4 linked regions of the Arabidopsis thaliana genome follow. The protein of the gene in region 4 purifies or fractionates together with the protein of the main gene of each other region. This does not show direct contact. Each region holds a gene or a part of one and is shown on either strand. Other genes may lie near its edges.

The links.
Region 1: the proteins of AAC1 (region 4) and AT2G32220 fractionate together in Arabidopsis thaliana (co-fractionation; one large-scale study listed by BioGRID). This does not show direct contact.
Region 2: the proteins of AAC1 (region 4) and AT4G15000 fractionate together in Arabidopsis thaliana (co-fractionation; one large-scale study listed by BioGRID). This does not show direct contact.
Region 3: the proteins of AAC1 (region 4) and AT5G25450 fractionate together in Arabidopsis thaliana (co-fractionation; one large-scale study listed by BioGRID). This does not show direct contact.

What each region holds. Positions count from the first base shown.
Region 1 is NC_003071.7:13,675,164-13,682,594, reverse strand, and holds AT2G32220 (Ribosomal L27e protein family), read right to left. Parts: upstream 3,686-7,431; 5' UTR 3,651-3,685; coding exon 3,243-3,650; 3' UTR 3,072-3,242; downstream 1-3,071. Other genes in the region: PRORP1 (proteinaceous RNase P 1), read left to right, coding at 839-1,993, 2,075-2,164, 2,256-2,437, 2,537-2,657, 2,732-2,803, 2,889-2,987; AT2G32210 (cysteine-rich/transmembrane domain A-like protein), read right to left, coding at 4,041-4,086, 4,202-4,340, 4,488-4,518; AT2G32200 (cysteine-rich/transmembrane domain A-like protein), read right to left, coding at 5,556-5,604, 5,735-5,882, 6,011-6,143.
Region 2 is NC_003075.7:8,567,285-8,574,642, reverse strand, and holds AT4G15000 (Ribosomal L27e protein family), read right to left. Parts: upstream 2,828-7,358; 5' UTR 2,748-2,827; coding exon 2,340-2,747; 3' UTR 2,282-2,339; coding exon of another isoform or gene 2,256-2,281; 3' UTR 1,962-2,255; downstream 1-1,961. Other genes in the region: AT4G15010 (Mitochondrial substrate carrier family protein), read left to right, coding at 1-51, 129-224, 482-998, 1,094-1,229, 1,324-1,518; AT4G14990 (Topoisomerase II-associated protein PAT1), read left to right, coding at 5,132-5,183, 5,580-5,725, 5,820-5,876, 6,052-6,127, 6,352-7,358.
Region 3 is NC_003076.8:8,852,377-8,860,622, forward strand, and holds AT5G25450 (Cytochrome bd ubiquinol oxidase, 14kDa subunit), read left to right. Parts: upstream 1-4,540; 5' UTR 4,541-4,659; coding exon 4,660-4,753; intron 4,754-4,834; coding exon 4,835-4,992; coding exon of another isoform or gene 4,993-5,010; exon of another isoform or gene 5,011-5,272; coding exon 5,273-5,320; intron 5,321-5,404; coding exon 5,405-5,473; 3' UTR 5,474-6,100; downstream 6,101-8,246. Other genes in the region: AT5G25430 (HCO3- transporter family), read left to right, coding at 1-139, 222-395, 491-586, 662-781, 865-1,184, 1,265-1,544, 1,634-1,753, 1,836-1,883; AT5G25440 (Protein kinase superfamily protein), read right to left, coding at 2,599-2,879, 2,976-3,102, 3,185-3,327, 3,683-3,818, 3,944-4,197, 4,289-4,346. UniProt on the Arabidopsis thaliana protein: Component of the ubiquinol-cytochrome c oxidoreductase, a multisubunit transmembrane complex that is part of the mitochondrial electron transport chain which drives oxidative phosphorylation.
Region 4 is NC_003074.8:2,602,264-2,611,271, reverse strand, and holds AAC1 (ADP/ATP carrier 1), read left to right. Parts: upstream 1-3,376; 5' UTR 3,377-3,638; intron 3,639-3,698; exon of another isoform or gene 3,699-3,740; intron 3,741-4,233; 5' UTR 4,234-4,241; coding exon 4,242-4,715; intron 4,716-4,798; coding exon 4,799-5,173; intron 5,174-5,269; coding exon 5,270-5,566; 3' UTR 5,567-5,837; downstream 5,838-9,008. Other genes in the region: iPGAM2 (Phosphoglycerate mutase, 2,3-bisphosphoglycerate-independent), read left to right, coding at 35-199, 295-573, 657-860, 952-1,376, 1,679-1,871, 1,951-2,046, 2,136-2,291, 2,425-2,589; AT3G08570 (Phototropic-responsive NPH3 family protein), read left to right, coding at 6,860-6,945, 7,068-7,134, 7,215-8,378, 8,478-9,008. UniProt on the Arabidopsis thaliana protein: ADP:ATP antiporter that mediates import of ADP into the mitochondrial matrix for ATP synthesis, and export of ATP out to fuel the cell.

The sequences.
Region 1 (7,431 bases), on a different chromosome or scaffold from region 4:
ATTCGTTAAAATGGAAGTGATTTCTTGTGTGTTTGTTATCATTCTTCTTTTAATGTTTTATGCGCTAAACAATGTTGTAAACACAAGACGGAACCATGACCGGTCTGGGTTTTATCTAGATCAGTAAGTTTGTAACCCAAAATCAAAATTGACAAGCCGAAAAGGAGAAAGAAAAAACCCAATTTTTAAAACCCTAGCGTTTTCTTCTAAAGCCCTAATGTGTAAATATTAGGCCGTTTTTGGGCTTCACAGGATAGAAATAAACAGAGTACCTAAAACGACGTCGTTAGAAAGTAGCATCCAAAATCTCTATCCCATGACACTCTTATATCTCAATCTATTAACCTTGGAGATAATCCATGGTGAATCCTGAAGGACAAGCTGTGTCGACCAAAGTCGTCTTTTTATCTTTTCCAATTTTCCCACCAGAAAGAAAGTTTCTCTCTGGTTCGATGTAAGTTCTTTTTCTCAAAATTCTTATGTGTTGCCTTCAACCTGTTCGACGATATTACCCAATGAACAATTTCCATGTTTCTTCACATTTCTACTCCTTTTTATCGACTACTAACTCACATTCTTACATAACCAATATCTAAAGTTTTGTTCTTGGACTTTGTTTCGGATATATTGTAAATTGCCCGTATATCAAAGGTTTTCAATTTTGTCTTCTCTGTTGTTATTGCTCTTTATTTCTCGATAATGTATAGACTATAGAGCTTTTAGATGCTTAGACTAAGTGTAAACAGCTCATTTTTTTAATTCTTGAATATTTTCTTCCTGTCTCTTGCAGATGAATTCGACTGAGAATTAATTCTTCAACAAGCTTGAGAGCAAAGTTATGCTGCGTTTAACTTGTTTTACACCTTCTTTTTCTCGAGCGTGTTGTCCTTTATTTGCAATGATGCTCAAAGTCCCATCTGTTCATCTCCACCATCCTAGATTTTCTCCATTTCGTTTCTACCATACTTCCTTACTTGTGAAAGGCACCAGAGATAGACGTCTTATTCTTGTTGAGCGTAGCAGACATCTATGTACATTGCCTCTCGCTGCTGCTAAACAATCAGCAGCTTCTCCTTCTGAAAACTTATCGAGGAAAGCGAAGAAGAAAGCTATTCAACAGTCTCCTGAAGCATTGCTGAAACAAAAGCTAGATATGTGCTCTAAGAAAGGTGATGTCTTGGAAGCTCTTCGCTTGTATGATGAGGCAAGACGCAATGGCGTGCAGCTTAGCCAGTACCATTATAATGTGTTGCTTTATGTATGCTCGTTGGCTGAGGCAGCAACAGAGTCGTCTCCAAATCCAGGGCTTAGTAGGGGTTTTGATATTTTTAAGCAGATGATTGTTGATAAAGTTGTTCCCAATGAAGCTACATTTACAAACGGTGCTAGACTCGCAGTTGCAAAGGATGACCCGGAAATGGCTTTCGATATGGTGAAACAGATGAAAGCCTTTGGTATTCAACCAAGGTTGAGATCCTATGGACCTGCCCTTTTTGGTTTCTGTAGGAAAGGTGATGCAGACAAAGCTTATGAAGTCGATGCGCATATGGTTGAATCAGAGGTAGTCCCTGAAGAACCTGAGCTTGCTGCTCTTTTGAAAGTTAGTATGGATACAAAGAACGCAGACAAGGTCTATAAGACGTTGCAGCGATTGAGAGATTTGGTGAGACAGGTTTCTAAATCGACTTTTGATATGATTGAGGAGTGGTTTAAATCTGAAGTAGCTACAAAAACTGGAGTGAAGAAATGGGATGTGAAGAAAATAAGGGATGCGGTTGTGAGTGGTGGTGGTGGGTGGCATGGACAAGGATGGCTGGGGACTGGCAAATGGAATGTGAAAAGAACAGAGATGGATGAGAATGGTGTATGTAAATGTTGCAAAGAGAAGCTTGTTTGTATTGATATCAATCCGGTTGAGACAGAAACCTTTGCTGCATCGTTGACCCGATTGGCATGTGAAAGAGAAGTCAAGGCTAATTTTAATCAGTTTCAGGTAACAATTATTGTCTAAAAGATTGTATTAAAACTATCTAAAAGAAAACCTGAGAAATGTGTTGTTGTTTTTTGCTTGCAGGAATGGCTGGAAAGACATGGACCGTTTGATGCAGTCATTGATGGAGCCAACATGGGCTTAGTCAACCAGCGCAGTTTCAGCTTCTTCCAGGTGGTTTTGACTCTTTCTCATTCTAATGCCAATCTCAAGAACCATTGTTTGACTACTTTATCTAATGCGACTCTTTATCTCTCCCCACTAGCTTAACAACACTGTCCAAAGATGCCAACAAATAAGCCCGTCGAAAAGGTTACCACTTGTGATCCTGCACAAGAGTCGTGTAAATGGAGGTCCAGCTACATACCCTAAAAACAGAGCCTTGCTAGAGAAATGGAAAAACGCTGGTGCTCTCTATGCTACCCCTCCTGGCTCAAACGATGATTGGTATTTGCATTTGCCTTTTTTTCTGGGTCTATGAATTACATTGACCATGAATAATCCAAAAAAGACAACCATTTCTTATGTGAAATCAAATTGTTCTAGGTATTGGCTTTACGCTGCGGTAAGTTGCAAATGTTTGTTAGTAACAAACGATGAGATGAGAGACCATCTCTTCCAGTTACTTGGAAATAGTTTCTTCCCAAGGTGGAAAGAGAAGCATCAGGTAACATATAATATAAGAGTCTATGTAATGTATATACATAAGCTTTTGATTGATACTGGATTCAATGTTTGCAGGTTCGGATCTCTGTCACTAGAGAAGATGGACTCAAACTTAATATGCCACCTCCATACTCCATTGTTATACAGGTCAACACTCACATTTCTATGTCCATCTCAATGTTTTCGTATGCATTTTGCATTAATGATGATGATTGATTGATGAATGATGCAGGAGTCTGAAGATGGAACCTGGCATGTACCAATGAGCGTAGAAGATGATCTCCAAACATCAAGGCAATGGTTATGCGCAAAAAGATCCAAAACACCTTGAATTTTTTTAATCCTTGTTGTATCATCTGACATTGATTCTTCATTTCTTAATAAATTTGTGTTTCATTAACCACAAGATTGAAAGAAATGTCTCACAATGAAGAGTTACTAGAAAGATTAAAACTTTAACCATCAAAATTGAATATATATTACTGAAATTTAGAACAAAACATAACCTTGAGCTAAACCAGAAGCAAAAACAATTCATGGTAGATAAAAATTGAAACTTTAAAACTAAAATTAAAAACTGTAGAATTCAAAACCTAAGCTTGGTGAAGAACCATCTGTTCTTGCCAGTCTTAAACCTCTCTTCAAACTTCGCCTTCGCTTCCTTAAGAGCCGTCACTTTCTTATCCTTGGACGAGATCGCGTCGGCGGAGACAACGTTCTTCAGATCCAAATCAAGAGTGTAGCGCGTAGGCATCACGTGCTGGTAATTGATGACCTTGAAGAAGCATTTCACGCGCGATTTCTTAGCCGTCTTCTTTGCCGAATCCTTGCGAATGACTTTGCTTGGGTACTTCTTCAATCCGGCGACGAGACAGTGACCGTACTTCTTCTCAACGGTACCGTCATCGAAGGATTTCACGATCACCGCCTTTTTACCGGTGTATCGTCCTTGTAAAAGGATCACGGCTTTTCCTGGCTTCATACATTTCACCATTGTCACTCTCTTCTCTGTCTTTCTCTCGGCGCTTCCTTGGATTCTAGGGCTTTATCGGGAGATATTTATACGCATCGATTTGTTCATTATTTGCATTCTAACCCCAAGAGTTTTAATTGTTTATAACTTTGGCTTATATAGTGTTATTAAATTGATTTTAAGTCCACGTTGACTAACCGGTAATAAAGTCAAAAATGTGAATCTAGCGTGGTTTAGAAGATGTCTAAGAGAAAACAAACGATATATTAAGAATTTATAAAATTACACAATGCAAAAGAAAGAGTGATATAGAAATGAATTAACAAATAGAAGTACCAAATGTCATAAACCTAGTCGAATCATTTTGGTAAAGCAAAATACAAAGATAATCAAAATAAACCATCTAAGTCTTCAGAAGCATGCGTCGAGGACACAACAACAACACATGGCCGCAAGACTGCATTCAAAAAATGAAAGAAAACAAATTAATCAATGCAACACACGATAACCGAACCGGTTTGATAGTTAACCAAACGTGCATGCCTGGTTTATACTAGAAAAAGAAGACTAACCAGCCTTTTAAGAATCCATCACCCTTGGACTTTGTCTCCACCGTTGCCACCGTGGCATGACTTGTGTCGTTCGTTGGGTAACCTAGCGGTGGCGGTGCCACGTAAGGGCCGGTAGACACTGGCGGCGTAGGATAAGCTCCTATAAGTTATTCATATTTCACATTAGTCTTATTACCATTTAAAAAAGTACTTACTACTATGAAACTGCAAATATGATTATAACCATGAGAATATTGACTAAACATATGGTCTGATGCTAAATTAGTACGAAGAAAAGAATACAAACCTGAAGATTGGTTTTGGCTGTATTGACTCATCTTGGAACAGATAGATTGTGATTTCTCTTTGAAAACAAGTTAGAAGAAAGTAGTAACAAATGTAGAGAGGTGTATGATTATGAAATGAATTGAAATATGCAAATGAAGATAGAGATATATATATAGAGAGGTAAGGGAAGTAAACGAAGGTCGGTTTAGTAAAACCGCGTGAGGTCAAAAAAAAAAAACGCGTGAGGTCAGATTGCATTAACTGCTAAGTCTCCAGAAATTTATTCTCTTGAAGAATAACAATGTGTTGATTTTTTCTCTTAATAAATATCAACAAAAAGGTAAGATGCTATCGATTTGGTCTTTTAATTCGTTGTTCTCTATTTACAAAAGTATACGAATTAGAGAACCTTATATATAGAATATGTAAAATGATGATAAATGCAGCATGGTTTTATATTTTTCTTGATTTAGTAATAATAAAGAGTTTTTTTATTCTTTCTCAAAGCAAAAAGTGTACTTCTTTCTCCATGGGAATATTTACATGTTAAGCAAAAGAGAGAACAATAATTAACGCTTATATTAACTAATAAAAACTAACAAAAGTAGATCAGAATATATATGTTATTAGAAGTTATGTTTTACACAAACGGATCTTAGATAATAGTTTGAACCATAATAATTTTACTTGAATCGCTTTATCTCGTCCAAAGTGCGTGTTGTTATTAGAGTAAAACTTTATTTTCGAGAGAGCACATGAAAGTTTTCTTATGAAGAAGAATAATTGCTGGTTTCAAATTAGGTGGGAATATAAACGCAAAATGTGATTTAATTTAGCGTATCTAAATCTAATTCCAGAAATTTAAATGAACAACAATTGACAGTTTTGGGCACAAAGTAGAATAAATTTTACTATTACAAACTAAGTTGTAATAAAATAAAAAAAGTAGTAATAAATAATTAAATCAACAAATAGGAGGTCCAAATGTTATAAGCTAATCGAATCCCAAAAACTACTTGCAAAATACAATGAAAAATATTTGCATGAAGTGTCAAATTTAATAAACAATCGACTGCTTCCTCCGAACTCAGAAAATGCATGCGTCGAGGACGCAACAGGCCAACATGGTCGCAAGACTGCATTTAACAAAAAAAAAAACAATAACTTATCAAACGTGCGGTCCCGGTTACGTTGAGCCACAATAACAAATTGTCCTAAAATTTTCCAAAGGATTGGAAAAAAAGAAAAGAAAAAAGAGAGACTAACCAGCCTTTCAAGAATCCATCAGCAGCTTCACCTTTAGACTTTGTCTCGACAGGAGCCACCGTAGCATGAGTCGTGTCGTTCGTTGGGTAACCGAGCGGTGGCGGTGCCACGTATGGACCGGTAGACACTGGCGGCGTAGGATAAGCTCCTAATTATACATATTTGACATTAGTTTTGTTACCATAAAACTCTAGAAATATGATGTATGACGAGATTGATGAACGATGATACATGATCATGATGCTTAATTTGTAGGGACTCAAAAAACAAACAAACCTGCATATTGGTTTTGACTGTATTGGCTCATATTCGAACAGATTATGATTTTTCTTTGAAAATGTAGATGAAAATGGTATGTAGATGTGTATGATATATGGATTGATATTTGCAAACGAAGATATATAGTCATGTAAGGGAAGAACCAAAGAAGGTCGGTTTTAGTAGAACCGCGTGAGCGCAGATAACAGTCATTGTTAGTCTCCAGAAATTTATTATTCCAACGACTAAAGAAAACGGCAAAGAACCATTATTTTTAAATGTTATAAGAATAACTAGATGATGCCAGTGGCGGACCCAGCCAAGAAATTTAGTAGGTGCAAAATGTAACTAGATGAGAATCGAACCTGCTATCTTCAGCATTTAGTAGGGGCAGTCTCTACCATTTTGCTACTTTAACTATAATGTATAAGCTAAAACCTTTAATTCTTTATATATTACTGGTGACAACTGTCCCCACAAACTATACCGTGGGTCCGCCCCTGGATGATGCAAAGAATAATGTTAATTTTTAATATTTTAGGTATAATATTTGACGTTTCTTTATAGACCAATTATAAATACGACTTCTCGTGACTCAGTCGCATATATATATATATATATATATATATATATATATATATATATATATATATATATATCGCGCCCAAAAAAAAGAAGACGATACAAGTTGGCTCTTTCCTTGTGATGTATTTTGCTCCACAACTTTGTGATTAAGAAAGTCCCAGTGAGTTTGACGAAAAAGAAAAAGCAAAGTCTCATTGTTAATTAATGGCATATATACTTACTAGATAGTTTAGAAGCTCTATGCGTAATCCAAATATGCAGCTTAAGATTATACTATTGGAGAAGTTTATTACTCAATAAACTAAATCAGCTATATTTTGCTATATATACCCTCTAGCCTTTTGTCCATTTGAAGAGCTTAATATGAAAAATGACCAATTTTACCATAGATTTCCTATGGCGAGTAGTCCTCTCCCGTACCATAGGAACTACGGCACGTCTTAACGCAAAAGGAAGTAAATAGACTTTGCCAAAGATGTTTCCTTTTTTAAGAAATTATACCATCTTCACTTGTCTCTTTTCCATCATGATTTGGAGACTTTCAACTATTCTTTTAACGATCATATAATCTTTTTCTGATGGTTGTTTGCAATCTCACGCATCAATCTTTTCAATATTTACAATCTCATGCCAATAGTTTTCATTCTTTATAACTTTGGCCTAATAATGTTACTGGTTTTCGAGTCCAAGCTGACGTAACGGAAATTCAAATTTAAGCATGGTTTAGATGTGTAAGAGAAAAAACGATTTATTTATAAGAAGGTAAAAATTACACAATACAAAAGAAAGAGTAATAAATAAATGAATTAAGAAATATTAGAAGTTCCAAATGTCATACAAATCCCAAAATATAA
Region 2 (7,358 bases), on a different chromosome or scaffold from region 4:
TAAGCTCCTTTCAAGTTTTTAATAGAGTTCTTCGATTCTCTGGCTATTCAGGTTCGCAAACTACTCTTTTAGATTCCAATCATTTTCTGATTCTGCATCAGGCATAATGACATGTTCTTCAAATGCAGGTCTGTACAGTGGTCTTGGATCGTTAACTTTAGGAAGAATTTCTGGTTTTGGTGCAAGGTTTGGTGTCTATGAGATTCTAACAGCTTTCTACAAAGGTATTACACAGGTCCATGTCTCCTTTGTTGTGTCTGATTTCGATGATTCAAGATTAGGTTTCTTTGTGTCTAGCTCCTCTGTCAATTAGCTCAATAACATCAGTTAATTAGTCAATACAGCAATCATTTGTTCATGGATTATGTTAGAATATGCAACAGTGTTCACATACATTCATGTCATTTATACGCAAATTTGGTTCCTTTTTGGGCAATACCTTTGTCTTGAAGAATCTGAATATGAATTCATTTCGCTCCAGATGGTCGACATGATAACTACGTGAGTGTTGGTGAAGCTTTTCTGGCTGGTCTGGTGGGAGGTGCAGCAGAAACAGTGATGACTTCTCCATTTGAGCTAATCAAAGTCCGAAAACAAGTGACTGCTGCATCACGGGCTCCAAATGCTTCCGCTGTTGCAGAGACCGCACCGGTCTCACCCATGATCACAAAACTGCTAAGAAGATACACTCTTGATGTAAAGTCATTGACACAAACAGTCAGTCTCTTATCCGTCTTAAATCACAAACACCCAAACATGACAGCTGCTTTGCAAGAGTACCCTTGGATGATGACTGGAACAGGAAACCCACCATCAGCCATGGATGTTAAGAGACCGCTCGATGTTGCATCACTTGAAGGATATAGAGCTTTATGGAGGAATCTACGTTCAGGTCTTATAAGAGATTGTATTTACGGTGGAGTATTCTTTTCAACATGGCAGTTTCTTCACGAGGCAATGGTCGGTTGGAAAGCTGTTGGGATGAATCCTCTGCCCAGGTACTTAAAACTCTCAATCGACACTGAATTCTCAATTCACTTGAACTTGGATTGTTGATTGTTAAAATGATTATGCGGAAACTTGATGAATTCAGTTCTGAAGAAGAAGTTGGACCTTTATCTCCGGTAGCCATTAGCCTTGCTGCTGGGATATCTGGTGCCGTTGCAGCTGCAGCATCACATAGCTTTGACACAGCAAGAACACGTGCACAGTGTGTAATATTGCCAAAGGTTTAAAGAAACTCTACTCATGGCTTTCCACTTTATCTTACAAAGAGATATGAAACTCATTTTCTCTGTTGGGTTTCTATTGTTTTACTTACAGTATACAGCAAAGGAGAGGAAGTTTCTAAAATGGAATAAACCAGGGAAGAGATTAGAGAGATGGACAGGAATCCATCCTACAGACAGAAATCTCTTGTTCCGAGGTATTGGGATGAGGATGGCTCGAAGCTCTGTTGCATCGACTGTGATCGTAGGAAGCTATTACTTAGCTGTCGATTTATTGGTTCCCAAGTGAGAAAACAAACAATCACATAAGCCTACAAATCTGTCTTTAGATCAGATTAACGATACCGCAATAGTGATTGTTTTTTAGTAGCCTGCGTTTTGTTATACAGTTAACAGAGAAATCATATGTGAGTTTTTCTCAATACTCTGAAATAAATAATTAACATCATTGGCTGTATCTGTAAGTTTGATGATTACAAATTATCAATTTCCTAGACAAATGAAACTCGAAAATTTGCTGTATTTTACGACGAGTTTAGGAATAAGCTACTTGCAATGGGATATTCAGAATCTAACAAAAACGATACAAGATTCAACTTTTGGTAAATACATTTCCCGATTCTATCAAAACTTAATGCCAGAGAAGCTTATAAACAAAGGAGATATAGCCATTGTATCAGAACCTTGCTCAAAAAACAATTAGCTATTGATATTTTGCTAATTCAAAACCGTGATTAAGACAATTAGTAACACCAAATTCAATTTCGAAGATTACGAAACTTGAACATCTATAATTTTCTAACTAAGGCTATGAACAAGAATTCTTTGCAATGGACCTCCAGATTTTAACCAATATCAGCCTAAAGACGTTACTAAATTCATCATTTCCTCAAGCCTAAGCAAATATAATTCAACGGAAACAAAAGAGTAAATAAGAATGCATTAGAGAATCAAAATAAAAGATCAAATCCATAATCCAAACTTCAACAAAACATCTTCCACAATCCAAAACAGGATCCACATTTTTCACCATGGGAAATGAACCCTAGAAACTAAAAAACACGATAACAAAACGCTCAAAATGAATTCCTCACGAAATAGAAAATTTCTTCAGAACCTGAGCTTGGTAAAGAACCATCTGTTCTTACCGGTTTTGAACCTCTCCTCAAGCTTAGCCTTAGCTTCCTTAAGAGCAGCAACCTTCTTATCCTTACTCTGAAGAGCATCAAGAGTCGCCACTTCCTTGAGATCCACGTCGAGTGTGTAACGAGTAGGCATCAGATGCTGGTAATTAACAAGCTTGATGAAACACTTAACCCTAGATTTCTTAGCTGTCTTCTTAGCTGAGTCTTTGCGGATGACTTTGCTCGGGTACTTCTTGAGTCCGGCGACGAGGCAGTGTCCGTAAGGACGATCACGGTTACCGTCGTCGAAGGATTTGATGATGACGGCTTTCTTTCCGGCGTAACGTCCTTGAAGAAGGATCACGGCCTTGTTCTGCTTCAAGAACTTCACCATTGTTGCTTCGTTTGGTAGATCCCTCTCACTTGTCTCTCTCTCTGGCTGCTATGAACCCTAAGTGGCGGATTCTATGAGAAATGCGGCTTTAATAGTAATGCAGAAAATGGATGCGGAGAGAACCTAGTTTCAGTTATTGGGCCTTTAGGTTAGACCCATTTTTAATTTGGGCTTTATATTCTTATCACACGGCCTGGTAAACCTAGCTTCAGTTATTGGGTCATACTAATTCTAGTTTTCCTTTTTTTTTTTTCTTACGTTCGTACAAACTTCAAAAGAGTTATTATTACAAAAACTTTTTTTTTTGAACTAACAAAGACATATATAAAATTATACAACTGTTATGGATCCCATTGATAATACAAAACTGTAAAAAGAATTAAGTTGTTAGCTGGAGTTGTAAGTATTTTTGAAATAGTGCAAAATTTACAAAAGAATTATACGAGAGAGCTGTAAAAAAAAAAAAAAGTAAAACTTTTAGTAACGGTTTTGATAAAACTTTTATGATTGGTGTTGAAGCTATCCAACTCTATATTTGACTGCTAATTTTAGTTACTCATATATGTTTTTTGGCTTGCTCATAGCACTACCACTATGTATAGTGACTAACTTTTACAAAATTACACTTATACTATCTACAAAATTATACATTTATCATATTATTATTGGAATTGTTTGTGAAACTATACATTGTATCGCATAAAAACATGCTGTCTTTTTCTCAAAATCTTCTAATTTTTCGATCAAGTTCCATACTCAAAATTATCAATTTAATTGTCACGAAAATTTCGAAAACCTTTCTACCAATATTTTAAGACTTTCAAACATGTCTACTTTCGTTTTCGATCACAAAATTTACCTTTCATCATACGAACAAAGTTGGAAACTTCTTCTCGCAGCAATCAATATATTTGTTTATAATTCTACTAAAATGTGTCAAATATTTATAATTAAAAATTGCATGCTTGACTTTTCTAGCCACTGCGAGACTATAGTCTATAATTATGGACTGTTAACATCATATTTGCAGATTATTATATATTTTAGAAAACTTTGCTTGGCCGGTTATATCGTGTCTACGCAAGTAAGTATATAGGTGTCATATTTTATAAAAAATAGACCATTTGAATTTGTGTATAATAAATTAGCAAATGAGATCAAATTGAACCGACCGGATGAAATCCGTTCACATGGACCATATAACTTGTCCCTCCAGTTATTTTATTTTATTTCGTCGATGTGTATTTAATTTTGTTAATCTCTATGCAATTAAGTTTTCATAACTAACTTATTTGGTTTGGTTGAGGAGTTTCAAACAAGTAAAAGCATAAACTTAAAAGGAGAAAATAGGTGGAATCATATATTTAGAAGGATCGTCTTACTAATTAGAATCATATACTAGTAGTTAGTGGATGTGGTATAACCTATATGGCTATATCAATTAAATTGTTTTTCGTAGTTATCCAAAATAATTACAGAAATAAGACGAATTCTCGTAGTTATCCAATAATTTATTTAATGTTTTCATATAAAATCTGAAGCCTAGAAATGCAAATTATGAAATTATGTATGGTTTACATGTATAATTGTTTATAGTGGTCTCATATGTTAAAAAAATAATTTTTTTTAATCGTGAATGTAGTGTGGATTACACGAAATCGGTCGATGTTTTTCAAATGCCGCAGGAAATTATATTTCTATGATAAGAAAATGTTTATGATCACTAATATTAGTAGACACAGCAATATGTAATAAATAATATTAAAATAGAGAGAATAATAAAATAAAAAAGCAGACAGCACTAAAAAAAGGTTATTCTTATCTTTTGTAATCACTATCACTAATTTTAGTAACATACTGTATAATTTTAATTAAAAGAAAAAAAAGTTCGGAAAGTGGAATATTTTTACTTTTGATTTTTTGTCAACAGAAGAGAATTTTTCCTTGACGACAAAAGAAAACATTTTTAATTTATTCTCTTTTATTTTAACTTAACGAACCAAAAAAAAAAAAAAGGTGAAATGCTTATTTCAGACAGAGAAATGAGGATTTGTTCGAGATGTGTCAATGTTACGCATAGCACAGGGCAGAGATAATAAAAAAAGGCTCTCTCTTTCTTTCTCTCTCTCTCTCTCTCTCTTCTCTAATCTAATCTAATCAAAAATCTCTTCTTTAGGAAGAGAAGTTTCCTCCTTCGACTTTCTTCTTTCTCAATATGAATCCCGGAAAATCGGGAACCTCTAGCGATTTCAGCTAATCTTTACTTACCTTTTCTTTAGTTCTGACAAGAAGTAGCAATACCCTTTTGGAGATTCGATCGTATTCGCTGTTTTTTTTTTTTGTGTTTTAGCTGTCTTCGTGTCTCTGCTACTTTGTGTTTGATCATGGAGAGATCTGATTCTAGAGATTTCTACAACTTCGCTAAGACTTCTTCTGGTCAGTTCTCTTTCTTGTTCAGCTCTTTTTGTTTTCAAATCTAATAAAAGTGTTTTTATTTTGTGATTCATCAGTTTGCTAAAGCTTCTTTCTTTGATCTGAGATGTGAATGATTTGATTTGCTTCTGATTTGTGAAAACTTTAAGAGAAACATACTTTTTGTTTCATGCTTGTTATGTTTGATTTATCTTCCTTGTTACAGTATTTGATTCGTTTTTTTTTTAAGTTTTGTAGTAACCTATAAGATTTACTAATTTGATTTTTGAAGTTGTATGAAATGATTGAAATGTCACAGATTTGTTTACAAAAGCTTTAGTTTTACTTAAATTTTCTGGTCAACTGATTGTCACTTACCTCATGTGTTTGATGAAACTGGATCTTATTGTCTTTGTGCAGATAACAATAGTGCACTCTTTGACGCATCTCAATATGAGTTCTTTGGTCAAAGTCTTGAAGAAGTCGAATTGGGTGGTCTTGATGATGATGGTACTGTTCGTGGACATGTTGATGATGAAGAGTATCACTTGTTTGATAAAAGAGAGGTAATTTGGACTGAGTCTGTTCTTGGCAATATTTGATGCTAATTATATATGAGATAAATGGAAGATAAAACAAAACATTTACTTCTGGTTTCAGGGTGCTGGTTTAGGATCATTATCTGACATGGATGATCTTGCCACAACTTTTGCAAAGGTTAGCATATTGTAAATTCCGAATTATGACTTTAAATAATTCTGTTTCTACTAATATCATTTTGTTACCATTTTTCATCGTCTCTCTTGAGACAAATGATCTGTCTTTCTCAGCTTCTTATTATTACTTGTTCTCTACTTTAACTTATCTTATTATTTGGTCTTATCTTGTGCAGCTGAACAGAAATGTTACCGGGCCCAAACACCTTGGAGTAATTGGTGACAGAGGATCAGGGTCCTTTTCAAGAGAAAGTGAGTTTTGTTTACTGTTTACTATTCTTGTTCTTCTATGTTACTTTTTCTTCTTCTTGAACTATGCAACTAAAGGTAAAAACTGTGAGCTTGTACTTTTAGATATCCACTTCTGGAGGTGAATGATTGGAGTATTAAGTTGTGGTAGTTGGAAATATAATTACAAGTCAACAAAAAAAAAATCCATTATCAGCTTTTTTTCTAACAGTAGTTTTTATGTCCAGGTTCTACTGCTACAGATTGGACTCAGGATAATGAGTTCACAAGCTGGTTGGATCAGCACACAGTTGAAGAACAAGTTCAGGAAGCTAGTTGGTCTTCACAGCCACAATCATCTCCTAATTCAAATTCTCTGTATAGGACATCCTCATATCCTCAGCAGCAAACACAGCTACAACATTACAGTAGCGAACCGATTATCGTACCAGAATCGACGTTTACATCTTTTCCTTCGCCTGGAAAAAGATCTCAACAGTCTTCCCCGAGCCATATTCATCGTGCTCCTTCTCTTCCTGGTGGTAGTCAGTCGAACTTTTCAGCTCCAAACGCCTCTCCGTTGTCGAATTCTACTTTCCATCTCTCGGGATTGTCACATGGACCGTCGCATTATGGTAATAATTTGGCTAGATATGCCTCATGTGGTCCTACTCTTGGTAACATGGTGCAACAACCTCCTCATTGGGTTACCGACCCCGGCCTTCTCCACGGTGATCATTCCGCGTTGTTACACAGTCTAATGCAACAGCAACATCTCCAACAACTGCCTCCTCGGAATGGTTTTACTTCACAACAGTTGATATCTCTTCAGCAGAGACAATCTTTAGCTCATCTTGCTGCATTACAATCTCAGCTATATAGTTCTTATCCTTCTCCATCACATAAAGCTCTTTTCGGGGTTGGTGAAGTAAGGGAACACAAACATAAGTCGTCTCATCGAAGTCGAAAGAACAGAGGTGGTATCTCTCAACAGACATCAGATTTAGCTAGCCAGAAAAGCGAAAGCGGATTGCAGTTTAGATCAAAGTACATGACTTCAGAAGAGATAGAGAGTATTCTCAAGATGCAGCATTCTAATTCACACAGTAGTGACCCTTATGTCAATGATTATTACCACCAAGCTCGGCTTGCGAAAAAGTCATCCGGATCAAGAACAAAGCCTCAGTTGTATCCTTCTCATTTGAAGGATCACCAATCTCGGTCGCGGAATAGTTCTGATCAGCAACCACAAGTT
Region 3 (8,246 bases), on a different chromosome or scaffold from region 4:
CGGTGTTCCTTTAATGGTCTTGTTATGGACGGCATTGTCTTACACAGTTCCTAGTGAAGTCCTTCCAAGTGTTCCCCGGAGACTGTTTTGTCCTCTTCCATGGGAGCCAGCTTCATTGTATCATTGGACTGTAGTCAAGGTAAGATTAAAGATATGCAAAACATGATTGAGTGATCAATACAAATGCAAAACTTATAGAATACAAAACTTATTATATACAGGACATGGGGAAGGTACCGATAATGTATATCTTAGCTGCGTTTATACCTGGTGTGATGATAGCAGGACTTTACTTCTTCGACCATAGTGTAGCTTCACAAATGGCACAACAGAAAGAGTTTAATCTAAAGAATCCTTCTGCTTATCACTATGACATCTTCTTGCTTGGAATTATTGTTAGTTCTTAAATGTTCTTAAAACTTATTTCAAAGATACTTATTTCATGGCATAAATACCAATTAAATCTTGTTGTTATGGTGGTGATCTATAGACTTTGATATGTGGACTACTTGGACTTCCACCTTCAAATGGTGTTCTTCCTCAGGCTCCAATGCACACAAAGAGTCTTGCGGTTCTCAATCGTCAAGTAAGAACAAATACATATATATATATGAGAAGAAGAAGGAGAGTTGAAACAGAGATGATGATATATTTTTTGCAGCTTATACGCAAGAAAATGGTGAAGAAAGCAAAGGAGTGTATGAAAATGAAAGCAAGCAAATCAGAAATATATGGGAGAATGCAATCAGTGTTTATAGAGATGGAGACATCCCCACCTCAGGTTAGTAATAATGCCTTCTCCTATATTTATAGAAAGAAATTGTTTGAAATTAAAGAAAAAAAAGAACCTTAAATTTTTTGCAGGATAATTCTGTAGCAACAGATTTAAAAGAGTTGAAAGAAGTTGTGATGAGACCAGACGAAGGAGGCGATACAAAAGGAAAATTCGATCCCGATGTTCATATAGAGGCTAATTTACCGGTTAGAGTAAACGAGCAAAGAGTGAGCAATCTTTTGCAATCAGTTCTTGTTGGTTTAACACTTCTTGCAGTGACAGTCATTAAAATGATCCCAAGTTCAGTACTTTGGGGTTACTTTGCTTATATGGCGATAGACAGTCTCCCGGGAAACCAATTTTGGGAGAGATTGTTGCTTCTCTTTATTCCTCCTAGCCGGCTTTTCAAGTTAGTTAATATATATCTTTTCTTTAGTCTATTTTTAGAAAGGTCTGCCTTTCTCAATCACTGGTTTCATCTAAATGCAGAGTCTTGGAAGGAGTGCATGCTTCATTTGTGGAGTTGGTACCATACAGAGTGATTGTAACATTCACACTTTTCCAGTTGGTTTATTTTCTCTTGTGCTATGGTATGACATGGATTCCTATGGCCGGGATATTTTTCCCCGCACTCTTCTTTCTACTTATAAGTATAAGAGAACACTTGCTTCCCAAGTTATTCGATATGCAACACCTTCAAGTGTTAGATGCTTCTGACTATGAAGAAATAGTAGCAGCACCTATCCAACACTCAAGTTTCGCATATAGGGTAAACCTTTGGTCTCTTAATGAGTTTAAACTGATTCAGGGGCTTTTTGTGTACACGTGTGTGATACCTTTAAACCATTTTGTGAGCAGAAACTAGGGTCTTCTCATCATTTATCAGAAGGTGAAGATGAATTCTACGACGCGGAGATATTGGATGAGATGACTACAAGCAGAGGTGAAATAAGGATCCGAACCATAAGTTTTAAAGAGGTAATAAAAACAAATTATATCTATTCTACACAATCCAAGCATTGATATGAAAAAATGCATATAAACAAGAATCTTGTTTCAGGTGCACCCGGAGCCTGAAGAGAAGCATGTAACCTTTGAACCACATTAAAAAGAATCTTTTGCAATTGTTTTTGTACACAACTGTATTTGTGCATAGGCATACATTGACTATGTTATAACTTTCCTTATAGTGGAACTTTGTTTCAGCAATTAAATATGAGATTATTCAGCATTCAAATTATCCAGTACTTGCTGCATTATGGCCATTTATTCGGGTGACGGTGAAAGCATTATTTATAAGCTTATATATATGTCTTCCGCTTCATGAGGATAGCTAATAGCTATTCTCTAAATCCGGATCGATCACCTCTGCCATGAATACCTTGTCACCTCGTATTGCTTGCTTTGCAAGAAAAATGCGCCAAATTTCAAGACCAGTTAATAGCTAGCAAGAATAACAATGGTACACCAGTCAAAGTTATTTTAGAGGAGATAAAAGATTTTCACAACGCTTTTTGCTTTACACGTCATCTCTCGGTTATTCTTCTGACACATAGCGTGGCTCCAAAGTAATCATATTTTCAACGTATTGCAGAGAGAGAGGTCGAAGAAGATAATGATCATTGTATAGTGTAAAGGTTCAAAGTTGATTAGCATATAGCTCTGTTCTTGAGTGATGGATAAGAATGGAGAATTAGGTCTTGTTTCTTAATACTTCTCGTCATATACGAGTTATTGTATACAAATGCATACATTGACTATGTTATAACTGTCTTATAGTGAAACAATGTTTTCAGCATTAGTAACCCTTATATAGTTTCTCCTCAAATCTGAGCTATAGCATTCAGATTATCTAGCACTTCTTGCATGGTTGGTCGCATCTTCGGGTCTACCTCTAGGCATTGTTTAATAAGCTCGCACATAAGTCTTCCCGCTTCAAGTGGATAGCTATTCTTCAAATCTGGATCGATCATCTCCACAATGTTGTACTTTTTATTTTTTATTTCTCGCTTTGCTGAGATTGTGAGGTCTTTTCCTAAACCAGTTAACATTTTAAGTAGTATAACACCAAAGCTATACACATCGCCCGCCATGTTCGACATCCCTTCATTTGATTAGTGCAATCAATTAAGGTTAGTCTCTTTGAATTTAATGGTCACTTTTAACTTTAAGATATAAGGAAGAAGCAGAAGATTGTTGCCTGAGAGTATGTATTCGGGAGGTGGGTATTGATATCTAGGTGCTACATTTGAAAACCCGATGGTGTATACCAATTCATCGAGAGAAACTTTTGGCTTTCCAAAATAGGAAACTCTTGCGTTGAAGTCCTGCATATCCCATAAATGTCACTTTAAAGGTAAGGAGCAAGTATTCAAGAAAAAAAACAAAAAAGGCAAGGTGAATACAAACCGAGTCGAGCAGGATTTTCGAAGCAGTGAGATATCTGCGGTATAGACCGGCTTGCTTCCTAGAGTGCAAGAAGGCAAGACACTGAGCCGCTCCTATGGATATCTTAAGTCGTGTCTCCCACGGCAATGACTTTGGACGACTATCTATGATATTATATAAACCATTAAATCCAAAAGGAAGATGAATTACTATTGGATCTAAGGTTAAGATCGTAAACTCGTGAGAGCTCCAGAAATCAATTTGAGCAACTCTCTTTATTCCCTCTCTATGATATTAAATTATCTAGGAATCATTTAGCTTGGTGTTCTTCAATTAGTATATTTTCCTCACTTCCACTAAATAAAGCTCTAATGAGCTATCTCAATTTTTAGATCTAGTTTTAAAGCTCTTATTAAGAGCTCTTACCTTTGGGTCTTGCTCGAGCAAGATTCTTCTTGCTTTGAGTCTACTCACAAGATATAATGACGAAAAGGAGATGAATAAACTTAACTTCCTTACCTCTACTGATGTAACTTCCTAAGCTTCCATTTGGAAAGTATTCAGAAACAATAAACAACATATCACGATCATAACAGTAGCCAATTAGCTTCACCAAGCTTGGATGAGAGTTATGTCGTAGAAACTCTACGTCAACCTACAAAAATATCATCTCTAATGTTAAGACACACTGACCCATCTCTAGGGGTAGGCAACATAGACATTTACCATCCAAAAACATCAAAAAATTTAGAAGAATAAATAAGTAACAAGAAACTTAACAATATTATTGGTTTTGCCGAAGGTTCTCCTATAGATTGAGATGATATAATTACTTACAAGCCAATCTTGAAAAGCTTGTTCATTGGCTAAGTAAATTTTCTTGACCGCGACGGCCATGCCAACACCTTTCTTGGCCGGAGATAACGTTTTGGGATTGATGTATCCCAAGCTCTCTCCTAGTTCCATCTGGTTTCCGAAATCATTAGTCGCTTTCTTCAGATCTGCCACCGTGAAGACTTTCACACCCTCCTCCACTATACATATATTATAACAAAACTTATATCCATTATAGTAACATTCAAATCAAAAGTACTTAAATCCGCAGAGAAATATATATATGTATACCTGATTTGGGAGCATTTGGTTCGGTGGGAAGTGTCGAAGCTGAGAGACAATTTCCCATTCGGATACTCTCTGCTAAATCTTAACACTAGAGTTCAATGAAGAAGAGAGGACTTTTAGTTTTTCACACCGAGGAGCAAAGTCAACGAAAACGCGTTTGAGAGTCAACGGTTGACGCGTTTTATTTGGTGAGTCATACGACGCCGTTTTTTGATAAGAGTACATACTACGCCGTTTGGCTAGAGTTTCATACGACGGCGTTTAAACAGATGTCTCTGGATGCTTCTTCCTTCTTCGTTCCCGGGTTAAATTACAAATAGCGGCGAAGGGGTTTCATCACAATTCACATCTTCAACGTTACTCCGAAGAAGATAATGGCGTCGTTTCTCCAGAGACTAGTAGATCCCAGGAAGAATTTCTTAGCTCGTATGCATATGAAGTCTGTTTCTAATCGCCTCCGCAGATACGGTACTCTTTCTTTCTCTCTTACCCTAGAAACCAAACCCTAATTCTCTTCTGGCTGATTTTGGGAATTTTACGATTTTTTAGGTCTTAGATACGACGATCTTTATGATCCTTTGTATGATTTGGATATTAAAGAAGCTCTTAATCGTTTACCGAGAGAGATTGTTGATGCTCGGAACCAGCGTCTTATGCGTGCAATGGATCTTTCTATGAAACATGAATACCTCCCAGATAATCTTCAGGTATGTTTTAGTCTCTAAGTAAGTGACAACAGAGCTAAAACGGTATATAGCTATGGAGTTTGTAGATAGAGCTTGCAAGATTTGACTTAAGACTTGTATTAGGATCAAGAACACTCTGTTTTCAGAAACCTGTTTTGGTTCTGTAATATAATTGTAACTTGATAAGCTTTGTAAGATCTTGTCTATGAAAGAAGTTTTTTTTGAGATAGTGCTTGTTAGTTGTGAGATAGGAAGCTTATGTAAATCTTTTTTTCTTTTCCTTGTCTCTGTAATTCCACAGGCAGTGCAGACTCCATTCAGGAGCTACCTCCAAGACATGTTGGCTCTTGTAAGAACAAAAACAGTTTTATCTATCTTGTAGTGATAGAAGAATCATATAGCAAAGTTCTAACACACGACACTTCATGTGCAGGTGAAGCGGGAGAGAGCTGAGAGAGAGGCTTTGGGAGCTTTACCTCTCTACCAAAGAACCATTCCTTAAGCATGTTAGTCTCTCTTGTGCTTATAGTAGGGTCACTGTTTTAGTACTCTTTAGGCTTCAATACCGCACAATTTGCTTTTGTATGGTTATGCATGGATATGTGAACCTTATGTATAAGATTTTATGAGATTGAATTGGATGTGTAATGTAAGCTTGATTGAGCTATTACAGAAATATGAGTAAAATATCCCACACCGGTAGGAGGAGAGTAAATCATGCTACATAAAGACATAAAGGCACACAAACCCTTAAGCTAGCTTTTGGAAATGTTTTCACAGTTCCTCATAGGAGCTCTGAAGAGAGGCGTGTAACCTCTGAACCACAATCCTTTATAACCCTTAGTTTGTCCTCTCAAATATGGGCTATAGCATTCAAATTATCTAGCACTTGTTGCATGGATGGTCTTTCCTTGGGATCTCTTTCAAGGCAGTTTTATGAGCTTGCACATACGCATCCCCTCTTCAACACGATAGCTATTCTCTAAATCTGGATCGATCATTTCCACAATGTTTTCTTTTCTATTCTCTGTTGCTTCCTCTGCTAAGATGATGCACGGGTTTCCCAAACCAGTTAAGATCTCAAATAGTATAACACCGAAGCTGTATACATCGCCCGCCATGTGTGATCTCCCTGTATATGCGTATTACCGTGCAATCAGTTTTAGGTTAGTGTATGAATTTTAATGGTCATTCTGTAGCTTGAGAGAGGACTTACCTGAGAATATGTATTCAGGAGGTTCGTAGTAAATTCTAAGAAATGCGCTCAATACAATTTTCTAGCTTGCTTACTCCTATAAATGTAACGCTCTAAGCTTCCGTTTGGAAAGTATTCAGAAACAATGAACAACAATTATCATCCGAACCGTAACCAATGAGCTTGACCAAGCTTGGATGCAGGTTATGTCGTAGAAACTCTAGGTCAACCTACAAACCTCGGCTGCCGTGTTAAGCATACATATATGAGTGATCAGTCTCTCTCGTAGAGGTTAATTTCTTACAAATCACTTTTGCAAGGCTTCTTCATAGGTTAAGTAAAATCTCTTAACGGCGATGGCCATGCCAACACCTTCCTTAGATGGAGATAACGTCTTGGGATTGATGTGTCTCCTCACACAGATTCATATATACCTGGAATTGTTGCAAGTTGTTCGGTTAGAAAACAGTTTCCCATGCCTATAAGATCCGCTTTCTTGACAGTTAAACAGAGTTTGAGGAAGAAGATGATTCACCTTACTTATCTAGATCTACTCCACCGGGCTTCAAGGTTCTGGAGTAAGCCATTGAGTATATGGACGTCTCAAGTCAATGTGTTAAAATGTCAACGCGTTGGAAAATGTCAACAAGGGAACCACCAACTTTTGTAGTTTATAGTTATAGTTTTAAACCTATGACGTGGAGCACAATATTCAAGTTTGTAGTTTAAATTGATCTTGCAAGATTGAACATAAGACTTGTATAAGGATCAAGAATCGTCTGTGTTTAAAGAGCCCTTTTGTGAACAACCTTACATAATTAGCTTTTTCCCATAGCCAATTTTGAATTTTTTTTTTTGTCGTAGCCAATTTTGATTTAATATACACAAATATTCATATTCATATTCATATCTTTTTTTTTCGTAGGGTTCATATTCATATCTTGTGCTAATAATGATCAAAGAATAATAGTTTATATAATTTTATGAATTTGTAGTCTTGTAGCATGAACTTTTCTCTGTCTTGTAGTGTTAGGGGGCTTATTGCAAAGTTCTTACACGATACTTCATATGCAGGTGAAGCGGGAGAGGCTTCGGGAGCATTACCTTTCTACCAAAGAAACATTCCTTAAGCATGTTAGTCTCTTGTACTATATAACTAAAGCCCACTTAACCAAACATTCCTTATGGCTCTTTAGGCTCCAATCTACCACACAATTTTACCTTTTATGGTTATGTACGGTTCACTTAAACACTGAACTTATACATAAGATTGATGTGTAATGTAAACTTGATCATTAAGTTAGATGTTAATGTTTACACAATTCCTCAAAGATGCCACTTTTAAACATTTTTTACATGAATCATATATATACAACGATGCTTTGCACGGTCTAGTGAATAAGTGTCGAGGTAGATAAGAATGAGATAAGGTATTTAAAGTATTTAATAGAGTGGTGTCAGTAGAGAGAACGATATGGATTTGTATTTGAAGACATTTCCATGTGAGTCACATTAGCACAGGAGGGTCCTTTGCCTAAATTCATTAATGAATTACTTAACAGAAATAAAATGACAATGTTCAATTAAATGTGAGTAGACTTACTCCTATTCTTTTCTCTCACTTGCCAAATGCCAAATTGCCAATAATTATTTATTACTGATGATTATTAAAAAAAATATTTTTCTTTTTGCGGAGATTTATTAAATATTGCATGATTTTAAAAAATAGTTATAGCCTAGCTTCCAAAAAGCCAAATTTATGTAGCTAAATGTTAAAACAATAGTATATGGCCACACTTCCACCAATCAGTCTTACTATCATTTGTCTCTTATGCGGTTTTGAAAGGATTTTGGTGCTTCTAATTTCGAATTTAGAGGGACAAACTAAAATTACGCAATATTTGAAAAGTAAGAATTATTGCTATTAAAAAATCTTGATACGATTCAAAAAAAATTATATAAAAAATACGGTTTTTAATTATTTAAATTTTCAGCATCTTTACACAAAAAAGAAAAGAATTCATTCTCATGTTCAAAACTATCTATTTTGTTAACTTTGTTTTTGAATTATGCAATTTTA
Region 4 (9,008 bases):
TTTCTCACCGACGAGTGGATCTGAATCCACAGTTATGGGTAGCTCCGGCGACGTTAACTGGAAACTTGCGGACCACCCCAAGCTTCCCAAAGGCAAAACTATCGGTTTGATTGTTCTCGATGGATGGGGTGAATCTGATCCCGATCAATACAATTGCATCCATAAAGCTCCAACTCCTGCCATGGATTCCCTTAAAGACGTATGTTTCCTTTTTTGTTTATATCCACTTCTTTCCTCGATGATTTCGCTGGATTCCGATTATGGACTTCAACGGTTCGATTTTATTCTTCACAGGGGAAGCCCGACACATGGAGGTTGATCAAAGCTCATGGTACCGCCGTTGGTCTCCCCAGCGAAGACGACATGGGAAACAGTGAAGTTGGCCACAATGCTCTTGGAGCTGGTCGAATTTACGCTCAAGGTGCTAAGCTTGTTGATCTCGCCCTTGCTTCAGGGAAAATCTATGAAGATGAAGGTTTCAAATACATCTCTCAATCTTTTGAGAAAGGCACTGTGCACCTTATTGGTCTTCTAAGCGATGGTGGAGTTCACTCTCGTTTGGATCAAGTCCAGGTACTTAATTCTCATCTGTTACACATTTCTTTTGAAACGTTGGCGTTTGTTAATTTTCTTTAATTTGGTTCTGTTTGGTGCAGTTGCTGCTTAAGGGTTTTGCAGAACGTGGTGCTAAGAGAATCCGCGTCCATATTCTTACTGATGGTCGTGATGTTTTGGATGGTTCTAGTGTCGGATTTGTTGAAACTCTTGAAGCTGACCTAGCTGCTTTACGTGCGAAAGGTGTTGATGCTCAGGTTGCATCTGGTGGAGGTCGAATGTATGTCACAATGGACCGTTATGAGGTAGGCAATGCTTGTGAGATCTTGTATGAATGTCATGCCTTGTCTAGTCTAGTTTAGAAATGAATCCAATTTTTGCTTTCCTTCCTTGCAGAATGATTGGAGTGTTGTTAAACGAGGTTGGGATGCACAAGTCCTTGGGGAAGCTCCCCACAAATTTAAAAGCGCTCTTGAAGCAGTTAAGACACTGAGGGCAGAACCTGGTGCCAATGACCAGTATTTGCCTTCGTTTGTTATTGTTGATGATAATGGAAAGGCTGTGGGTCCAATTGTTGATGGTGACGCAGTTGTTACATTCAATTTCCGTGCTGATCGAATGGTCATGCATGCAAAGGCCCTCGAATACAAAGATTTCGACAAGTTTGATCGCGTACGTGTCCCTGATATACGTTATGCAGGAATGCTCCAATATGATGGAGAGCTTAAGCTTCCTAGCCGCTATCTTGTTTCTCCACCATTGATTGACAGAACTTCTGGTGAATATCTGGCACACAATGGCGTTCGTACTTTTGCTTGCAGGTTAACTTTTAGAATCTCTCAAATCTTTAGTTATTGTCTTTGCCATTTTCTTCTATTGCTGCTTCCTGGTTTATTTATTTGCTGGAATTGGATTCATAATTGAAACTGTGATAAGAGTAATCCAGTCTTCTTTACTTGCTCGGTAGAGGTCTAATTTATGATTGGGGGTTGTTTGTTGATTAAAACTAGTGAAATCTCCTAGCTCACTTTTTCTTGATGAGATTATACCGTTGATGGTTAGTTACATATAATGAATGAATTCTCAGCTATTAACCTATTAAAATTTTATTTCACTGAAACAGTGAGACTGTGAAGTTTGGCCATGTAACCTTCTTCTGGAATGGCAACCGCTCTGGATATTTCAATGAAAAGTTAGAAGAGTACGTTGAGATTCCAAGTGATAGTGGAATATCATTCAATGTCCAGCCAAAGATGAAAGCACTGGAAATTGCCGAGAAAGCAAGGGATGCTATCCTTAGTGGCAAGTTTGACCAGGTAAGGTGTATTCTCTTATCACATTGTATCAACCCATTAAAACAATTGGCTTCTGAGTTTGGTGCCAATGGATTTTCAGGTGCGTGTAAACCTGCCAAATGGAGATATGGTGGGGCATACTGGTGATATTGAAGCAACTGTTGTTGCCTGTGAAGCTGCTGATCGTGCTGTGAGGGTATGATTTCAATAAATTTGTGACATGGGAATGTTAGAAACCGTTCTTAGTAGCAATGACTCACTTAGTTTTGGTGTCCTGGTTTGCAGACAATCCTTGATGCCATAGAACAGGTCGGAGGGATATACGTTGTGACTGCAGATCACGGAAATGCTGAGGACATGGTTAAAAGGGACAAATCCGGCAAGCCTGCTCTCGATAAGGAAGGGAACCTTCAGATTCTTACCTCTCACACCCTTAAACCAGTAAGTTCTAGCACTACTAAAACAGTTCGTGTTATGACCATTGCAACTGAGCATAGATTAAGCATGAGGGGTTGTAATACCAGAAGTGGTTGGTGTATCTTATATGAAATTTGGACATGATGTGTGTGTGCAGGTGCCAATTGCCATAGGAGGTCCTGGCTTGTCAGCAGGAGTTAGGTTTAGACAGGATATCGAGACACCTGGGCTTGCAAATGTAGCTGCGACAGTGATGAACCTCCATGGATTTGTGGCCCCGAGTGACTATGAGACAAGTCTGATCGAAGTCGTCGAGAAGTGATGATTCTTGTTGTTGTAGTTCTTTTTAAAAGTCCCACCTGAGCCTCTATAGACTCTGATTCTCTTTTAAGTTACTATTTTCACCGCTCTCTAATAAGGCTCGTGATTTTTTGGGAGCCATACTGTATACTCGCCGGCCCTCTCACGATGTTGTTCAATTCACAGACTAAATTTGATTTATCTATTTCGCCAAAACATAACTTCATTAAAAAATGTTCTCCAAATAACTAAACGAATTAAATAAAAGAAACCTTTCATGTAAAGTTAAAGGTATGAGACTTTAAGGGCAGTTGCTGAACATTCGTAACACATGGGAGAACAATAGAGAAAGTTGAAAAGAAACGTAGCATATAGAAAAATTATCTTTGTAACCAAGTTGATTTAGAAAAATATCACTATTTGTGAAAAATACTAGATCAGTTTATTATTACTTTTTTTTTTTTTGTATATTCACAAATATCATATTCATATAGAAGAAAATAAACAAAGTTGTAAAAATCTGGCATTTAAAATAAAATTGAACACTTCAATTTATTTCCTTTCATAATAATAATTTTGGCATAAGATATTTGCAAATTGATCTGGTTCGGTATGGTCGACAAAATAATTTTCCACGCTACCCTTCCAGCCGTCCATTCACTATTTGCCCTCAACGTTACCAAATAACGGTCCAGATTCCTAGGGCAAGATCTAACGGTTAGCAAGTAAAGTCGTACCATCAGAAAGAATAACAATTCTTTCACAAAGTAAACATAACCAACGGTTAACAAGTTCTTAGGGTTAAATCAGTAAGATCCAACGGATATTAAATTGCAAGGCCCAAATAGTTTTTTTGCAGCAGATAATAACTCGTCCCCACTGGCGAGTGACGACCGAGACTCTGTGACCCTATTTTTCGAGACGATAAAAGGGCAAACAATCGCTCTTTTCAAAGCTCGCCTCTTCACCACAGAGAAAACTTCGTCTCTCTTCTCTGCTTCGCCCTCTCATTTCCTGTGAGATAAAGGCGGAGTCTCTCTCCAGTTATTTTGCTCATCCATCGATTCTTAGGTATGACTCGTTTCTCTCAGATCTGTGATTCTTTATAATCTCGTCGTTCTTCAAATCATTGTTATATTCGTTTCTTCGATCTGTGTTTTTTAGATCTGTAAGGTAAATGAGACGTTTCGATCTGTAGATCTGATTGTTATATTGATAGATTATGTTATCTGCTTTGCTTAAAGTCCGATCGGAATGTTTTGTGCTCATTGTCGAATATCTGATGTATCGGTTTCATAGATCTGCTTCTTTTTGTGCGTTTCGTTGATCTGATAATCTTCTAGTGATCAAAATCGTTTGGATCTGTTGACTTTAGTTTAAAATGTATCCGATCTGATGTCGAGGCTTCATTATTGGAAGTTGTTATTGTTGTAATCCTGATTTAAGTTGCTGTTCTTAAATTTATATGATCTTTGCGTTATAATATGACATGGTAGATCTTGGTTCATGGTTCACTGTTTTCCAATAAACTTGGTTTGTTTGGTTGGATAGCGTTCTGTGATACGACCATGTCTTGTGTTGGATAAGAATTCTCTGAATTTCCTTGGCTGGTTTGTAGTATGTTATTCACGTCTGGTTTCTCATCAATGATTATGTGATTTTGCAGAGTTCAAAATGGTTGATCAAGTTCAGCACCCCACTATTGCGCAGAAAGCTGCCGGGCAGTTCATGCGTTCAAGTGTTTCCAAGGACGTTCAAGTGGGTTACCAGAGGCCTTCTATGTATCAAAGACATGCAACCTACGGAAACTACTCCAATGCTGCATTTCAATTTCCTCCGACATCCCGGATGTTGGCAACAACTGCTTCTCCCGTGTTTGTCCAAACCCCAGGAGAGAAGGGGTTCACTAACTTTGCCCTTGACTTTCTGATGGGTGGTGTTTCTGCTGCCGTCTCCAAGACTGCTGCTGCTCCTATTGAACGTGTTAAGCTTTTGATCCAGAACCAGGATGAGATGATTAAAGCTGGCAGGCTTTCTGAACCCTACAAGGGTATTGGTGACTGTTTCGGCAGGACGATTAAGGATGAAGGTTTTGGTTCTCTATGGAGAGGAAACACTGCCAATGTTATCCGTTATTTCCCCACTCAGGTTTGTTGAGTTTCATACTCTTTCTTGTTATAGCTTTTGAAAAAACATAATTTTCTGCTAACCTTCTTTTTTGTCTATTGTAGGCCTTGAACTTTGCCTTCAAAGATTACTTCAAAAGACTTTTCAACTTTAAGAAGGACAGAGATGGTTACTGGAAGTGGTTTGCTGGTAACTTGGCATCTGGAGGAGCAGCTGGTGCCTCTTCCCTTCTGTTTGTGTACTCCCTTGACTATGCCCGTACCCGTCTAGCTAATGATGCCAAGGCTGCAAAGAAAGGAGGTGGTGGAAGACAGTTTGATGGTCTTGTTGATGTCTACAGAAAGACACTTAAGACTGATGGTATTGCTGGTCTGTACCGTGGATTCAACATCTCATGTGTTGGTATCATTGTCTACCGTGGTCTGTACTTTGGACTCTATGACTCTGTGAAGCCTGTTCTCCTCACTGGTGACTTACAGGTATGTCTTGTTGTCTTTCTCTCTGATCTGTGTGCTCTCTTGCCTATCATTGGTTGATATTGACATGTTGTGGTCGTTCTCTTTTGGTTATTTCAGGACAGTTTCTTCGCTAGTTTCGCTCTTGGATGGGTTATTACCAATGGTGCGGGTCTTGCATCCTACCCCATTGACACTGTCCGCAGAAGAATGATGATGACGTCTGGTGAAGCTGTCAAGTACAAGAGTTCTTTGGACGCCTTCAAGCAGATCCTCAAGAATGAAGGAGCCAAGTCACTCTTCAAGGGAGCTGGTGCCAACATTCTGCGTGCTGTTGCAGGTGCTGGTGTGCTTTCCGGTTACGACAAATTGCAGCTGATTGTCTTCGGTAAGAAGTACGGATCAGGAGGTGCCTAAGCATTGCTTCTTCCTCCTTTTTTCGATTTTAATTGCGGTTTTAAGGCCCGCAATAAACTGAGATGTTGATGAAATTTTTTTTGCTTAAGACTTAGGGAGGCATGTGCCCTAAACCAAATTTTATATCGTTCTGACGCCAACTTTTTTTACTTATGGAATAATTCATGTTTGAGAGAGTTTGTTAGACTCTTCGATTTTAAAGAATTTTGGATTTATGAAATAAATTCTTCTTTTTTATCTGATTACCATGTTATTTATAGTCTTAATCAACTTGCAATATTGATTTCGTTATCTTAGGTAGTATCTACAATCTAGTTCAGGCTATAAGTTAAAAAAATGCACGCATCCAAACCTGTGTAACTTAGAAGTTTTGTACGAAGTAGTGAACTTAAACTGTAGCAACAATGATGAAAGAAATGTTGCAAACTCATTGTTGAGAATATCACTTATATATTGCATGTCAATATTTCACTCTTCATATCCCTCATATTGCACCTATGTCTATATCAGTAGTAATGAGAGAGCGAATGCATAGAGCTCGGTTAACATGCATAAAACATGGAAAATGAGAGTGAAAAATCTACTATGCAAATCGCCCTTTAGCATCACCCATCTCTGAATTATTTTTGTGGAACAGAGTCATAGAGTTGCACATCAGTTTGGAATTATGAACATTGATAGAAATCAAGAAAACTTCCAATAAGAAGACACCAAACAGATATTTGAGTTAACAAAAGGTGTTTCTGAAAGCTTTGAAATAAATTAAAATAGTGATGTATTAGTGATTAAGGATCTAGAGATATTTAAAAGGATCTGTCATTTTGCCATTTGTCTGCTGCTATTGGAAGGATTTTGATCCGACAAGGATTTCACATCTCAAATCACCATGTCAATTGTTTGGTGAAACAAAATAGAGCAAAAGTAGTGGTGACAAAGTAGGGTTCATAGGTGGTTGGTTAGTATAAAAGAGAGATTAGATAGAAACTGAGAGTGGAGGTTGTAATAGAGACCTCAATTAGTAAAGTGAAAGTGTGCCCCCAAGAGACTATAATTGAGTCTTTATGGAGCTCCGTGCCACACACAACCCCCTCTCGGCTTTTCTCACGTGCTCTGAATCATACATCACCAAAAAAAGCATCTCTTCTTTTTTTTTTTGGAGTCAAGATTACGAAATTGAAAGTGCATTATAAAGTCTATTAGAGAGTTTTTAAAAAATCCGAGCAAGAAAAGGAAAGTGTTCAAAGCCTATATGTTTCTGAAAGGCTCCTCCTCAAATTCATACTCAAGGTCACAATGGGTATTATATCGGACAATGCTCAATCTCACTCGTCTTCCTCTGCCCCTGCTCCTTCCATCTTCTCCAGCTCCTTTGCCACTCGGTCTGTTCTCTGTCTCTCTTTCGTTCAAACATGTCAAAGTTTGTTCCTTTTATGCAATCACGTATAGATTTCTTACTTATCCGATGCATAAAGGATTCGTTTTTACCATATATAAATTGCAGCATATTCTCAGATGTTGCGGGAGACATCACAATTGTTGTTGATGGAGAGTCCTTTTTACTCCACAAGGTTAGTGATCTGTTTTTTTTTTTTGCCCACACAAAGTGTTCGACGGAATTTCAATTTACGATGTTTGAATTATTTTGCAGTTTCCTTTAGTGGCTCGGTGTGGAAAGATTAGGAAAATGGTGGCAGAGATGAAAGAATCATCTTCAAATCTCTCGCATACAGAGCTCCGAGACTTTCCAGGTGGGTCTAAGACGTTTGAACTCGCCATGAAGTTCTGCTACGGCATCAACTTCGAGATCACTATCTCCAACGTGGTTGCTATCCGTTGCGCAGCTGGTTATCTTGAGATGACAGAGGACTTCAAAGAAGAGAATTTGATTGCGCGGACCGAGACTTACCTCGAGCAAGTCGCGTTTCGCAGTCTTGAGAAGTCTGTGGAAGTCCTCTGTTCCTGTGAGACGCTTTATCCTCAAGACATTGCTGAAACTGCTCACATTCCTGATAGATGTGTGGAGGCTATCGCTGTGAATGCTTGCAGAGAACAGTTAGTGTTAGGGCTGTCACGGCTGAACCGAGGCACCGAGTCAGGGGAACTCAAGCGAGGAGATAGTCCTGAGTGGTGGATTGAAGACCTCTCTGCTCTGAGGATTGACTATTACGCACGAGTTGTCTCTGCGATGGCTAGAACAGGCTTGCGGTCAGAGAGTATCATAACGTCTTTGATGCATTACGCTCAAGAATCGTTGAAAGGTATTCGAAACTGCAAGGAGCGAACCAAGCTCGATTCGGGTACTTTTGAGAATGAACAGAGGAACGTCCTTGAAGCCATTGTTAGTCTTTTCCCAAATGACAATGTCCCTCTGAGTTTCCTCTTTGGAATGTTGAGGGTCGGGATTACCATAAACGTAGCCATCTCTTGCAGGCTCGAGCTCGAGCGGAGAATCGCTCAGCAGCTGGAAACAGTCTCCCTCGATGATCTACTCATACCTGTTGTCCGAGACGGAGATTCCATGTACGATGTAGACACTGTCCATAGAATACTCGTCTGCTTTCTGAAGAAAATAGAGGAGGAAGAAGAATATGATGAAGATTGCTGTTACGAGAACGAGACCGAGAATCTTACTGGTTCTATGTGCCACAGTTCATTGCTGAAAGTGGGTCGGATCATGGATGCATACTTGGCAGAGATTGCACCAGACCCGTGTCTGAGTCTTCACAAGTTCATGGCTTTGATAGAGATATTGCCTGATTACGCACGTGTCATGGATGATGGGCTATACAGAGCCATTGATATGTTTCTAAAGGTAAAGTTGTTCTTCTATCCCTTAATATGGAGGCTGTGTCTCTGTTTTTGCAACATTTTGTATTGATAGAGTGTCAATGTTCTTTGTGTCTCTGGTTAGGGGCATCCGTCGCTGAACGAACAAGAATGTAAGAGTCTCTGCAAATTCATAGACACTCAGAAACTTTCACAAGAAGCATGCAACCATGTGGCTCAGAACGATCGGCTGCCGATGCAGATGGTGGTCCGAGTCCTCTACTCAGAACAGCTGCGTATGAAGAATGTAATGTCCGGAGAGTCAGGGGAAGGGCTATTGCTGTCTTCTCAGAAACATAGTAGCGAGAACCCGAGCCGAGCTGTGTCTCCGAGAGACACTTATGCCTCACTGAGGAGGGAGAATAGAGAGCTGAAGCTGGAGATTTCAAGGGTGAGAGTGAGGCTGACTGAGTTGGAGAAGGAGCAGATTTTGATGAAACAGGGGATGATGGAGAAGTCAGGTCATGGTGGAACATTGCTGACCTCACTTTCCAAAGGGATTGGGAGGATTTCGATATTTGGTGGAGGACCTACAGAAGGGAAGCTGCGGAATGCTAACCGCAAATCCAAGTCAAGGTTGGAGAGAAAAACCGTTAGGAGCCGACCAGAGTCTATG